2 linked regions of the Oryctolagus cuniculus genome follow. The protein of the gene in region 2 interacts with the protein of the main gene of each other region in a pairwise test. Links are inferred from orthologs where the notes say so. Each region holds a gene or a part of one and is shown on either strand. Other genes may lie near its edges.

Region 1 (6,194 bases), on a different chromosome or scaffold from region 2:
AACTGCACATCGAAGCAGAAGGCAACGAAAAAATCAACAGTTTTCAAGAAAGATGAGTAAGCTCTTTTCAGTCATGACTTTAGCTGGGCATTTCATCTTTTGTCTAAGAGCACAGTACAAATAAGGACACGTAGAGAAAATTACACGTATTTATGAGTCATTAAGTACTTCATCTAGGGTTGTTTATATTAATGACACTTTTCCTGCAGTTTGCAAAAATGGAGAAGTTAAATCTGAAGATCTGAGCTTAAGTATTATATTTGCAACTGGTAATTATTTTTAAATTTGATCATTTGCTATTTATAAAAGGCAATTTGAAGAAAATGTCTGCTTCATGCGTCTACTACCTGAATTTTTTTAAGCATTCTAAAGATTCTTTCTTTGTATTTTATCTCCCAAGGCAGGCTAAGGGGAAAGAGGGAAGATTTTGAACACAGGCATCCTTCAGCGCCCATGTGTCTTAATGGAAGCAGGAGGATAATTTGGGCCATAAACTGATAAATTAATTCTATGGTTATGTGCATTTTTCTTTTAAAATGCTAATTTGTCAAGGATTTAACAAAAGAATTGTGTGCTCTGGTTTTGCTTTTGTTTCTCTACCATATAAAATAAAAGGCATTTATTTCAAGCAAATCAAGTGTTCTTGGCATCCTGTAGTAAATACCTATCCTGTTTACACTAATTACATGTAAAAATATCTTAAGATCTTTGCATTCAATGTGTCTAAATGTTTTGGAGTTTAGGGATTACAAAAATTTCAGGTAAAAAAAAATACAAGTGTCAGCATGTACTTGCCCTCTTTTATATGCAAAAATAAGACACCAAGGTATTCAAAGTGGGAAATTTCAAACACTATTGCTTATCCTAATCCAACAGGATACATACTAATGGAATCTATGAATCAACTACTGAACTGGGAATGAGGTGTGCCATGTGATCCCAATTATTGTGGGCACCCAACAGATAACGATGGATGTGAGAATCAGGTTTCATAACTTAGAAGCATGCATGGACCTCTGAGGGGCAGTCTCATGATTTAATCCAATGAAAGCTGGGTCAGGTTTGTGGGTTCATTTCTCCAGGTTCCTAATGGTGAGAAAGTGATCTCTGTATACATGCAAGTACCAGCTGTGGTTAAAGACCTAACAGTATGAAGTTGGTGGGCAACAGTATCATCTCCCTTTCCTAAATACTGCAACCAGAAAGAGGTAATTTTACTGGTTGTTCCATCCACACATCTGATGCCAGTGTAACGAGAGTCTTCCATCCAAGCATTTTAACCACAGTCAGACTATTTTCCCAAAAAAATAGGGGATACTTCGAAAAGTTTTGGAAAATGGAATTAAGACAGTTCATTTGGGTGCAAAAAACTTTTGAAATTCATGAATAGTTTTTTGTCATAATACACATTTTCCAGTAACTTTTTGAAATCTCACATATTCCTATAGATTGACCACTTTGTGTGTATCCAAACCATATAAATGTAACTTCCTAGTAGACCAAAAACCGCATCTTATTAAAAGCAGACTCTGCTATAAAAGTCAAGACCCAGGATGGACCAGGCCTGACAGAAGGCTTGCTTACCTTCCACGTGGCTGCGTTGCGCCGGAAGTAAGCAAACATGCGTGTGAACCAGTTATAAATTTCATTTAGTGTTAGCTGCTTTTCTGGAGATTCGAGAATGGCCTGTAAAGCACAAAGCAACAGCAGAAGATAATTTATGACCAAATCAGCAAAATTGTTATTATACAGTTTTTTGAAAATATAAACTGTGACTCAGAGCTAAACCTTAAGAAAGGTTTCACAAAATGATCTAAGATTAATGGTTGTATTTAACAGTTCAATAGCAAAATTCAAAATGGAATTATCTAATTGTTTTGAGTTTTTATTTCTGTTTCCATACAGAAATATTAATTTATTAGTCATTCATAAAGCAGAATCAAAGAGAAATGCAAAACATTTCACTAGCTGATTAAAGCTCAGTAATTATTTAGAGCTCAGATTAATTCTAGGGATCAGAGATTACTGTAGCTTGTGATAATTGACTTGCCATCTTTAAACAGGCTCATTTTCACTGTTGTGTGAAATGAATTTCCTAATAATCACATCGTATTGTAATACTTAATCAAAAGCAATTATGTTATATATTGCAGTTTTAAAAAACCTTATAGAAAAGGTTTTAGCATGCTTGCATACTAAACGGTTTTAAATCTACTTCATCAATATAATATATCCACGTACACGTACACCTTTTGATATAGTTTCACAAACCGCATTATTTACTTACCTGCCTAATTAAAGATGCATATGTAAATGGTGGTCTAACTTCTGCGTTCTTATAAAATTCTTGGTTCTGCGCAATATCTGCTAAATAAGAATCATTGTCCTATTAATTATCACTTTTTAAAAAGAGGCTGATCAACAAGAATTGCAGATTATACTTTGACACGAGGCAAACATGGAGTAGCTACCTGAAGAAATGGGCACGTTGTATTTGTCTGAGTACCGCCTGCGGATGGGCCCCACCGTGTGCATGCTGGTGGTGGTGATGACAGAGGGGCCTTGGGTGACGGGAGTGAGGGGGGCGGTGGGGGTCGTTGGAGTATGAGGTAAGCTCTGTGGAGAAGCCTCTGATGCGGACTTGGAGAGCGTGACGCTTGACACCAGATTCAGCTGCGAGGGAAAGAACACTGATTAGGAAGACCTTGAGGAAAACACAGTAACCAAGAAAGCAAGAGTAAGACAGTGGACGCCTGGCAGTGTTGTTTTTCTAAGTAGCTATGTCTACAATCAACCGAAAAGCAAGGCGAGTGTGGAAACAATTCATTTCAGTATTTACTCTGAGAGGCTTCTTGCATTGTTCTCCCCTCTTTGCAGTGAGACAGGTGTTTTCCGAAAGCTGCTAAACGGGTGTTGACAGACACAGAGGGGTTACCCAGCCTAGTGAAATTATGAAGCTTTGCAGCACCGACGGGTCTGTAATCGTGACATCTCACCTTCTTTAATAGCCTACTAAGCATGCTAAGCCTCCGAGAGGGAGATGGAGTTCTCAGAGCCACCAGCAAAGACAAGTATTTGAGGGAACACCACTTGGAATGCATTTCTGTTGGACCTCGGCAGTCCAACAGAAAATAACTTTCTGTTCTGGGCTGGCACATCTGAAAAACCATTTTTACTTAATTGTAATTAAAATTAAACCCTGATGAATCAAAACAATGTCACGTGACCTTGTAGCTACCACACTGGACAGCACAAGGATAAACTACTCAATTCCAGCATAGAGATTTCACTGATGATGGGAATGGCCTATATCTCATATTAAATAGATTGGCACAGACCTGATAAGCCATCATTTCAATCAGCTGGCAGACATTGGTATTTTAAAGCTTTTTGTGTAATCTTCATTAGCCTCTATCAATATAGGATCAGAATCTATTCATTTTAAAAGGTGGCAAAAAAAAAAAATTTCCCTTTAAATTGTGAACAGGCTGTAAAATGAAACAGTCTACATTAAGTAAGGAAATGAGTATTATTTACTAGGAATAGTATTGAAGAAAATGAATGCTATTTTGATTTATCTATTTTACCTTTGCCTCCAAGTGCTATTTCTATGAATACTAGAAGGAATAGCCCTTTTTCAAATTTTGTTGCAACAGAAATATTATGTTAAGCCTGGAAATGCTGAAGAACCGTTTTTAGCGTATTTGTTACCATTTGCACAGAATTGTTATCTTAGATACATAGAACCTCCCCTAAATCCACGAATCTTCAGCCCTTCGTAACCTTGTCTCACTGAGGATTTTGCATTCCCGTAAGCAGTCGGGATTTCACCACCGCTACATTCAGTTTGAAGTACAGGCACTGTTTGTGTAAGGTACTCCAAATGAGATTCCTCTGAGACCACAACCAATGAAGAGCTTCAAAGGGTTCCACTGGTGGAGACGATTCTTACTCCATACTCTAATAGTGAAAAGGCCAGCAGAATCCTCAATGAGGGGAGTTCCAAGGGAAGAAAATGACAATCAAATATAGCTGAGGAAATATTAATGGGAAGTGTAAACATGATGCTGGCAGTCGAGAACCTTGAGTTGTGCTTTCCTTCTTATCTTCAGCCTGGATTGTTCCCTGAGCAGAAACCGCAGACCTCAGTGCGGAGGACAGCAGGCTACGGAGATGGCACTACCTTCACAGATCCCCCAGCAGGCTGGGCATATGCTCGGAGTTGCTCTTTTCAATCGAGCTGGCAACCTGACTTCATGGCACACATTCGCAAACTAAGTGCTAACAACAGTGTAGCGGGGCGGTGCTGGGGAGCCCACCGACAGGAGTTGGGGCTGACCCGGTCTTGGACACGGGCCTTCTTCACTGACCAGGCCCGAGAAAAGTACGAGAACACATCAGCACGAGCAATGGGTGGACAAGACTCATGCAGAAAGGTCCTAAGCACATAACCTTTATCATTCAGACGCTGCTGTGGAGTCACGGAGATCAGTTCCAGAGTCCTGGTTTAGAACACCTGCCACTTGGTGGTTTCTTTCCTTTCTCATACCATCGCTGATTTGAGGTGTTCTTCCCCACATTTTAGAGATAAGCAAACTGAGGCTTGGAGAGATTAAAAAGCTTTCTCATGTTCCCAACTCAAACCCACAGTCAAACCGCAACTTGTGTGGTTCTTGTCCAGATTGATCATCTTATACTTGGTTAATGGGAAAAACAAACACTAACTGGTTTGACTTCTCTGTGTGCTCATTTGTGAAAAGGATTCAATGACTAGCTATTATCTCTGTTACAAATAACATTCAAAAAGTATTACTGAGCAAATATAAGTCAGAAGGTCCTGTAATAATGGAAACAGGAATAAAACACATGATTGATATCCTTGAAGAGCTCACCATTAAAAGCAGAGATTGGTCAAAGACAAATGTACACGATAACCACAAAAATATTCCCAGGACTGATTCCACTTCTTGGCTTCTCTTTTCAGCTTAAGAACAGGATCCTAAACATTGTGGCCACCTTAAAAATGTAGTGAAAATTAGCTATAAATGTCCTTAACAAATATGGAGGTGGGCATAGTGAGTATGCCACAGCTTGGGATGCCCACCCCTATCAGCGTGCCTGGGCTCAAGTCCTGTCTCTGCTTCCGATCCTGCTTCCTGCCGTGTGCGCACTCTGGGAGGCAGTAAGTGATGGCTCAAGTACTTTTGTGCCTGCCACCCACATGGGAGACCTGGATGGAGTTCCCGGCTGAAGCCTGGCCTGCCTCCCCTCACCTCCCCCCATCTCCCTCCCCACCCCCAGCTACTGCCAGCATGTGGGGAGTAAGCCAGCAGATCTCTCTCTCTGCCTTTAAAGAACATGCACGTCTGTTCCAGTTTTGTGAGGAAGATCACCGCATCTAGTGTGTCAGAAATAAAGTCATGGCAACATGAGGCTGGGGCAGACTCATTTTGGGGGGTACTGATATCTAAGACCAACAGACAAATCCCCAGTATCAATCAAATGCAAAAAGAATTTGAGTCTTGTACGTTTTTACAAAGGTCTCAGCACTAGGACTATTGCTACCAACAAAAGTAGCAGAAAAAAAAAATCCCTCCAGGTTAGCAGTCGACAAGGAGAAAGATGAGGAAGAATCTTCTGGGTGCTTTGGCACCTAGGTAGTGGAAATAAACACTGAGCCAGAAGAGAGCAGAGAGGGGGTTTACCAGGCTTGACAAATGACACCATGATTCACACCCACTGCTGGGCTGTCTCTAATAAGCCACAGAGGAAGCAGCCAATCTCAGCTAATTACCAGATAAAAATGTATTGTAAGGACTCTAATTAGGAGACGCGGATGGAGGTGATCTAATGATTAAATGCTGCATTCGGGTGACCCCACCATCCATGTGCAGTGGTGCAAGATGTCACTGGAATATTTTGTAGAAACAGTAATTTTATTTCGAGGAGGGGAGGCAGTAATATTTGTAATGATGGCTATGAGGTAAACTAATTAAAAGACAGTTCCTGGAGGAAGAGGGTGGCTGAGAGCAGCTGTGGCCATTCCAAAATCAAGTGCCAAGTCTCAATAGAGGAGCTGCAGTCAAGTGGAAAATTTCTGCCTGACCTCTGCCCTCGCTATTAATTTGCAGGAAAACTAATGACACATATACATATTCCCACAAAATTGTTCTAATTGCTAATTTGCCAAAGGA
Region 2 (6,897 bases):
CGGTGCGCTGGCCACAGCGCACCGGCCGTGGCGGCCATTGGAGGGTGAACCAACGGCAAAGGAAAACCTTTCTCTCTGTCTCTCTCTCTCACTGTCCACTCTGCCTGTCAAAAAAAAAAAAAAAAAAAAAAAAGAATATACTAAGACACAAAAAGTGTACAATGTATTTTTAAGTCAAAATATTTTGTGAATACATCTAAAAGCACTCACTTCACATTAAATGTACAATAAATGCTAATCTAATAAGGCAACTTATTTAGTTAAGGTCAATTAAAAATTGTCAGGTTATCTTCATCTTACTATAAGATATAGTAATAAAACACCACCAGTTGGAATTGCTAATAAATTTTAATTCTTAGTTAAGTCATTAAATAGCAAAATGAGAACCACATTTTGGTATTATTTAAAAGAATCAGAGCCAGTGTTGTGGTGCAGCAGGTACAGCCTCTGTATGCAGCACTGGCATCCTATATGGATGCCAAATCATGTCCCAGCTGCTCCACTTCCAATCCAGCTCCCTGCTAATGGCCTCAGAAAGCAGCAGAAGATGGCCCAAATGTTTAAGTCCCTACCATCCACATGGGAGACCCATACAAAGTTTCTGGCTCCTGGCTTCACCATGGCCTGGCACTGGCCACTGAGACCATCTGGGGAATGAATCAATAGATGTAAAGTCTCTTTCTCTCTGTTTCTCCCTCTCTCTCTGTAACTCTTTCAAAAGAAATAGATGTTTTTTAAAAAATCATTGTATTCCATTAATATATATGCTGATATTTCAGAAAAATCCTAACTATACATTTTCTAAGTCCCTCATCTCCAAATCTCTTACCAAACTTAACCAATCATCAACAATTCAACCAAGAACAAAAGAAATAATCCTGGAAAGATAAATCATTTGTTAAAATATGTGGTAATAAGTACTGTCCATCCATTTGAAAAGATGTGATCCTTGATCTATCATATTTGGATGATCTAATGCCTAAAGAGTTTAAACTCATTAGAGAAATAATGAACATATATTCATTCAAGTTATATTATTTAGGAAACTACAGACTAAATCATACAGACACAGTAAAATTGGCCTATCAGTTGAGACACCACTAGGGATGCACCCATCACCTATTAGAGTGGCTGGGTTCAAGTTATCAGACCTACCCTCTATTCTAGCTTCCTGTTAATACACACCCTTGGAGGAAGGAAGTGATGACTCAAGTAGGTGGGCCCTTGTTACCCATATGGAAGACCAGGAATGAGTTCCCAGCTCCTGGCTTCCAGCTGTGCCAGCCTTGGCTGCTGCAGGCATTTGGTGAGTTAGCATGAAAAAGTAACTGCTATGAGGCCAGCACTGTGGTGTAGTGGGTTGAGTCGCTGCCTGCATCACTGGCATCCCATATGGGTACTGCTTCATGTGCCAGCTACTACACTACCAGTTCAGCTCCCTGCTAATGCACCTGGGAAAAGCAGTGGAAAATGACCCAAGTACTTGGGCCCGTGTCACCCACACAGGAGGCCCATATGAAATGCCTGGCTCCAGGCTTTGGCCTGGCCCAGGCTCAGCCATTGCGGCCATTTGGGGAATGAACCAACAGATGAAGGTCTGTGTTTCTCTCTCTCACCCCCTCTAACTCTGCCTTTCAAGTAAGTAAAATCTTTTTTTAAAAAGTAACTGATAACTATAGCTTTCTTATTTAAAAAAAAAAAGGTACTCAATGAGGCACAGTACTTTCTATTTGTTTATACACCATTTGCTAAGTAGAAAGACAATAAACTGAGAAGACTAACCTTGGATTTTTTTTCACTGTCTAAATTTCTAATTTGTAAAACAAGCATTTAATGTACTTTAAAACAGTAGAGTGTAGCTGCTGAACTTAGCCTCTGTAAAGAAACTGCTTAAATTCAGATCCTCGCTCTACTGAATACTCTTGTTGGGTATCTCCCTATGTCTGTTTACTCTTCTACAAATTAGCAATAAAAACAGTCTCTCCATCATTGGGTTATGATTAAATTACTTAATACATGTCAAGATTGGTTTGGACATGTGTTAATTTTAGAATATGAAGTATGGACATCCAGTATACTATTCTCACTTAGGAATTGTAATGCTTCCACAATAAAGTTTTTTTAAAAGCTTACAATTGGGCTGGTATATACAGCTCAATAAATGCTTTTATTACTCTGCACAATACTTGCTAAGATTAAAGGAAATTAACACATAAATGTGTCCCACTGTACCTAAAATAGTGTGTATTCAATTTAAGTTGCCAACATCATATCAGCTTTCACAATCTGTATTAGACAATTCCTTATCTTGAATTCAGTATCTTTTGACCCACTTGGACAAAACATTTAGTCATAAGCTACTACACTTATGTCCCACCATTGCCAGAGCCCTGAAAGTCACAGTATCAACTGTAAACAGGTTCAAGAGATATAATGTATCCAGAGTGCTGACTTCACTGACACTCTGTAACTAGTTTCAAGGAACTGAAGTACAATTTAACCAGTAACCTTTATCTCACTGTCTAACACACTCCAAGATTGCACAGCAAATTACAAGCATCAAATCAAGAATGCGTCTTAAGAATGACCAACACGTTAGATGGGAGAAAAGGTAACTAGATCGGTATACTGGTCGAACCAGCATACAAGCTGGTGATCTAAGACACTACAGATCAGAGGCCAGCCCTCCATGCCCGTTCCCAAGCAAAAATATGAAAAAGATCTAGTAACTCATGAACCATAAGAGACAAAATTTGTGTTTTAGATCAGGACATAACATTTCTATTTTAGATCAGGATATAACCAAAAAGTTAAAAGACTGCTCCCAATCCTTTAAATCAGTGATCCATTGGGGGGGGGGGGATGTCAAAAATGGATACATACATAGCATTTAAAATGAAGTAACTTGAATTCCCACTTTGGAACTCTAGAGGGCACCAGAAATATGCCCTCCTTCGCACCACCCCTCCTCTCCAGTAACGTGAGCAGCTGCAGAAGCCCGTCGTCTGGTTGCTGAGGTTGGTATTGCAGCAGCAGGAGCGATGTCTGCAGCGGTGCAAACAGCAGCGCCCACTCCCAGCTGCCTCAACAGCCATTACCCGGGCTTCGCCCCGGGGGCAGCTGCCACCCAAGGGGAAAGCTCCTCCCCCTCAAAACAACGGGAAGGGCCAAGTCCCAAGGCTGAACCTCTACAACCTGACAACATCCTCTTTACAGAGCAGCAAAATCAGGAGCAAAGGACTCACAATGGGGGTGTTTTCCTCCTCACTTTCTGCCAAAGATGCACCAGACAGGGCTGTAGGTGATTCCTGGTCCTGGGATGAAAAGAAAAAATGGAAAATGGAGCAAGAATACCCAACCTGGTGGGAACACCGAGCCTTTTTCGCCAGAAGGAGGCAGAAAAGGCAATAAGAGGTCAAGGAAGTACGGCCCTTCTATTATTACCCCCACCCTGCAAACAGCCCCTTCCAACGTAAGTGGGGCGCAACAGCAGCAAAAATATGTATTGGGGGCCAATAATCCACGTGAAAGCCAAGATCTGGGGGAGAGAGTGGCCCGAGGGCACCAAGCCCGCTCCTGGAAAGGGAGGGGGAAGGGCAAACGTTGCCTCGATGCCAGCCAGGGATGTGCATTCCCTCCTAAATTCGCCCACCCAGCGTCATTCCCATCACTCTCAGCACCAATTTGGAAGTAGGGACGGCTCACGTCACTGCTGGGCAGATATCGCCCATATTTGCCCCAAGCTGTTGCCCTGGGCCCGAGGTTTGCCCCCCCCTGCAGTCGGCGACCGGCAGCGCTGCCTCCCCGTCCGCCATTAGAGACCCAGCCAAACAATACGTGAGGAGCAAGAGCCGCGCAGCGCAGCGCCGGGGAAGAGCAGAGCGAAGGAGGGGACCCGGCGGGGCCACAGGCAGCAGCCCTCGCCCCGAAAAAACTTGAAGACCTCAGCTCGGGCCGACAGGGTGGGCGCGCAGCCCCGAGAGCGCGATCGCCGACCGGCGCCCCTCCCCCCCACCCCCGCAGGAGAGAAAGGAAAATACCCCGCGACCGCCCCGCCGGCCCGCACCCCCCGCCCCGCGGCCCCGCCGGCCCGGCGACCCCCGCCGCCGGCGTCCGCCTCACCCAGCCCGCCCGGCCGCGCCCGCGCAGCCTTCGGGCCGCACGCGAAGGCGCCCGTGACATGAGCGCAGCCCCGAGCAGCCCCCGAGGCCCCGACGCGGCAGCGGCGACGGCGGCCGCGCCGCGGGGTATTAAGCCCGGGTCGGTGGGAGGCTCCGGAGGCTGCCCTCACCCATCTCCGCCTCCCCAGTCGCCTCCGCCTCCGCCTCCTCCTCCGGAGGCTGCGCTGCTCCCAGCCACCCCCACTCTCGGCGGCCCTGGACTGGAAAGACAGCGGGGAGAAGCCTCACCCGGTTCTGGCTGCGGCTCCGCGGAACGAACCTCCCCTCCCCCGGCCCACCCCCCTTCGGCGACACGCACAACTCCGCTCGGTCCAGTCCCGGCTTTAGCGCTGGTGAGGAGGAGGAGGCGGAGGCGGCGGCAGCGCGGCCGAGCCCGGGGAGGCCCCGCCCTCCACGCGCTCATTGGCAGGCGACGGAGGTGGGCCAAGGAGCTTGAGAGATTGCCATTGGATATGTCCGCCTTCCTTCAAGACCCCCCTCGGTGGGGTGGTCCGAAAGCCTGTCTGTCTGGCGAGAGCCACACCCCCGGCCCTGCCGTTCCACTCCCCCCTCCGCCGGCCCTCGGCTGGCGGCCGCGTCCCCTCCCCTCGGAGCCCCCGCCCCCACCCCCGGGGCCGCCAGGGTCAGGAGCCCGACTTTCGTGGCCAGCCGCACGGGCCGCGGCTCGACCCCTGGGACCCGAGGGTTCTCCGGGGCTGGGACGGCCCGAGGGCTGACGCGGCGACGCCTGCCCTAGCCTGGACCGGGACGCGCAGGCCGCCGCGGCTCCTAACGACTCTGCCCGAGGACGTACGCGGCCTCGATGCCCCAACGCCCTCCCTGTCCAGTCCCTTGAATCCCCCTCGCGAGGGGCGAGCCCAGGAAGGAATCAGAGCGAGGCCGAGGGCGCGGTCCGGGCCACGGAATAAGGGGACTCCAGAGGCTCTGAGGGCTAGGGGGACACTTCCACCCTCGCCTCGCCCCCGTGGGGAAGAGTCCCCCCACCTCCCGTCATGGCTGCAGCAGGAGGAGACGACGTCCTCCATTTTGTCGGAACTGCTCTGGGAACTTGGGACCCTTTCAAATCCTAACCCCGTGGGGCCCAGAAACTTGGCCCTGAGCGGCCCGCACTGGGTTCTGCCATTCGGCCGAGGGAACGGCCCCCGCTTCCGGCGGCCGCGGCCCCGTGGCCGTGGCGGGGGGTGGGCGCGGGCGCGACGGTGGGGAGACCCAGACGCCGCTCCCCGCCTCCATCAACCAAGATGGAGGGAGTTGCGGGCTCCCCTGGAGCTGGGCTCCCGCCCGCTCATGGGACCCAGGCCTGCCCTGGGGACGCCCCCAGCGCTGCCGTCTTCTTTGCACACCCGTGCGCTGGCCCTCCCCGGCCTCCCTCGGCCTCTCCACCATCTCCTTGTCCTCAACGGTTGATGGAGGCTCCATCGCTTCGCCCACCCAGTGCGGCCCCCGCGCTCCCCCGGGAGCCGGGCCAGGGACAGACGGCGCCCGAGGGAGGCGGACCTAGGGCCGCGTCCACGAGGGTCTTTTGTTCCTCGTCTACACCTACGTCTTCGGGGGACGTCATGGTGCTGGAGATTTCCAAGACTCCACGTAAAGATGAAAGTGATGCCTCTTTGGTCTCTCCCTGGCGGTTGTTAGTGGGATTACAAGTGGTGGCGTTGGTTACTTTTCCACCAAGTGGAAGCAGGAATTGGACCTCAATTTCACGATTGTCTGACACCGCTGGCTGCTAATAGACATGTGATGTTACAACTTAGAAGTTTCACACAATATTGATGAACATCAAGTTTTTAATGAAGCTAACCATCCATAAAGGACTCTGTGAAGACTGAAGTGTAAATTTAATAAATGCAACGTAATCTAGTGCAATTTGAGATTCATTCGTTATCAATAAAAGTTGAATCAAGGAGCAAGTGTTTGGGGCAGCGGTTAGGATGCCTCTTGAGAAACAGGCATCCGATGCCTGAGTGCAGGGGTTGGAGTCTCAGCAAGGCTCCTGATCCAGCTTCCTCTTAATGTCCACCCTGGGATACAGACATGATGGCTCAAGAGAGTCCTTGCCACCCTTGGTTCCAGGGTCGTGGTTTCTGCCCCGTCCTAGCTGTTGCTGCCTTTGAGAAGTGAACTCAAGGATGGAAGATATCTCTGTCTCTCCTCCTTTCAAATAAGTAAAAAAAAAAAAAAAAAAAAATCCTCCCACCTGGGACTAAATACCACAAATATGCTGCTTTTATTAACGGGACAATAGCCCCCATATGTATTTTCAAATTTAAAAACCACTTTTGTCTTTCGAGAAATTTTTTTATTTCATAATTGCAAGATTTTTCCGCTTTCAGGACACTAAACTATCCCAAGATTTTATGGTACATATTTTGTTTTACATGAACATACTTGATGTGTATCTGTCATCACAACAGAACGTTGCCATGAGCTAACATTGTAATAATAAACTTACACCATCCCTTTTTTTGCCACCCTGAACTATTGCAATAGCTTCTATTCATTATGTTTATAATTAAATAAATTGGAGATACACAATCTGTTTAAAATTGTATCTATGAATTACATGAACTCATCTTTATATTAATAGAATTTTTAAAATAATGTCACATGTAAGTGATAAGTTTCAACATGCTATTCAATTGCAGGACACTATATTGCTATCTCAGCATGATTTGTAATTGATTAGCAACAATAACACTAACTATCGAAGTATTTA

Evidence for each region. The genes of interacting proteins can lie anywhere in the genome.
Region 1: the proteins of ZMYM2 (region 2) and FOXP1 come close enough for resonance energy transfer, tested with the Homo sapiens proteins (2 studies listed by BioGRID). The link is inferred for Oryctolagus cuniculus from reciprocal best matches to the Homo sapiens genes ZMYM2 and FOXP1.

Annotation. Positions count from the first base shown.
Region 1 is NC_091441.1:78,256,818-78,263,011, reverse strand, and holds part of FOXP1 (forkhead box protein P1), read right to left. Parts: intron 2,674-6,194; coding exon 2,472-2,673; intron 2,368-2,471; coding exon 2,288-2,367; intron 1,687-2,287; coding exon 1,585-1,686; intron 1-1,584. UniProt on the Homo sapiens protein: Transcriptional repressor. Can act with CTBP1 to synergistically repress transcription but CTPBP1 is not essential. Plays an important role in the specification and differentiation of lung epithelium.
Region 2 is NC_091440.1:90,903,303-90,910,199, reverse strand, and holds the start of ZMYM2 (zinc finger MYM-type protein 2), read right to left. Parts: upstream 4,607-6,897; 5' UTR 4,410-4,606; exon of another isoform or gene 4,292-4,409; intron 4,262-4,291; exon of another isoform or gene 4,123-4,261; intron 3,315-4,122; 5' UTR 3,246-3,314; intron 1-3,245. UniProt on the Homo sapiens protein: Involved in the negative regulation of transcription.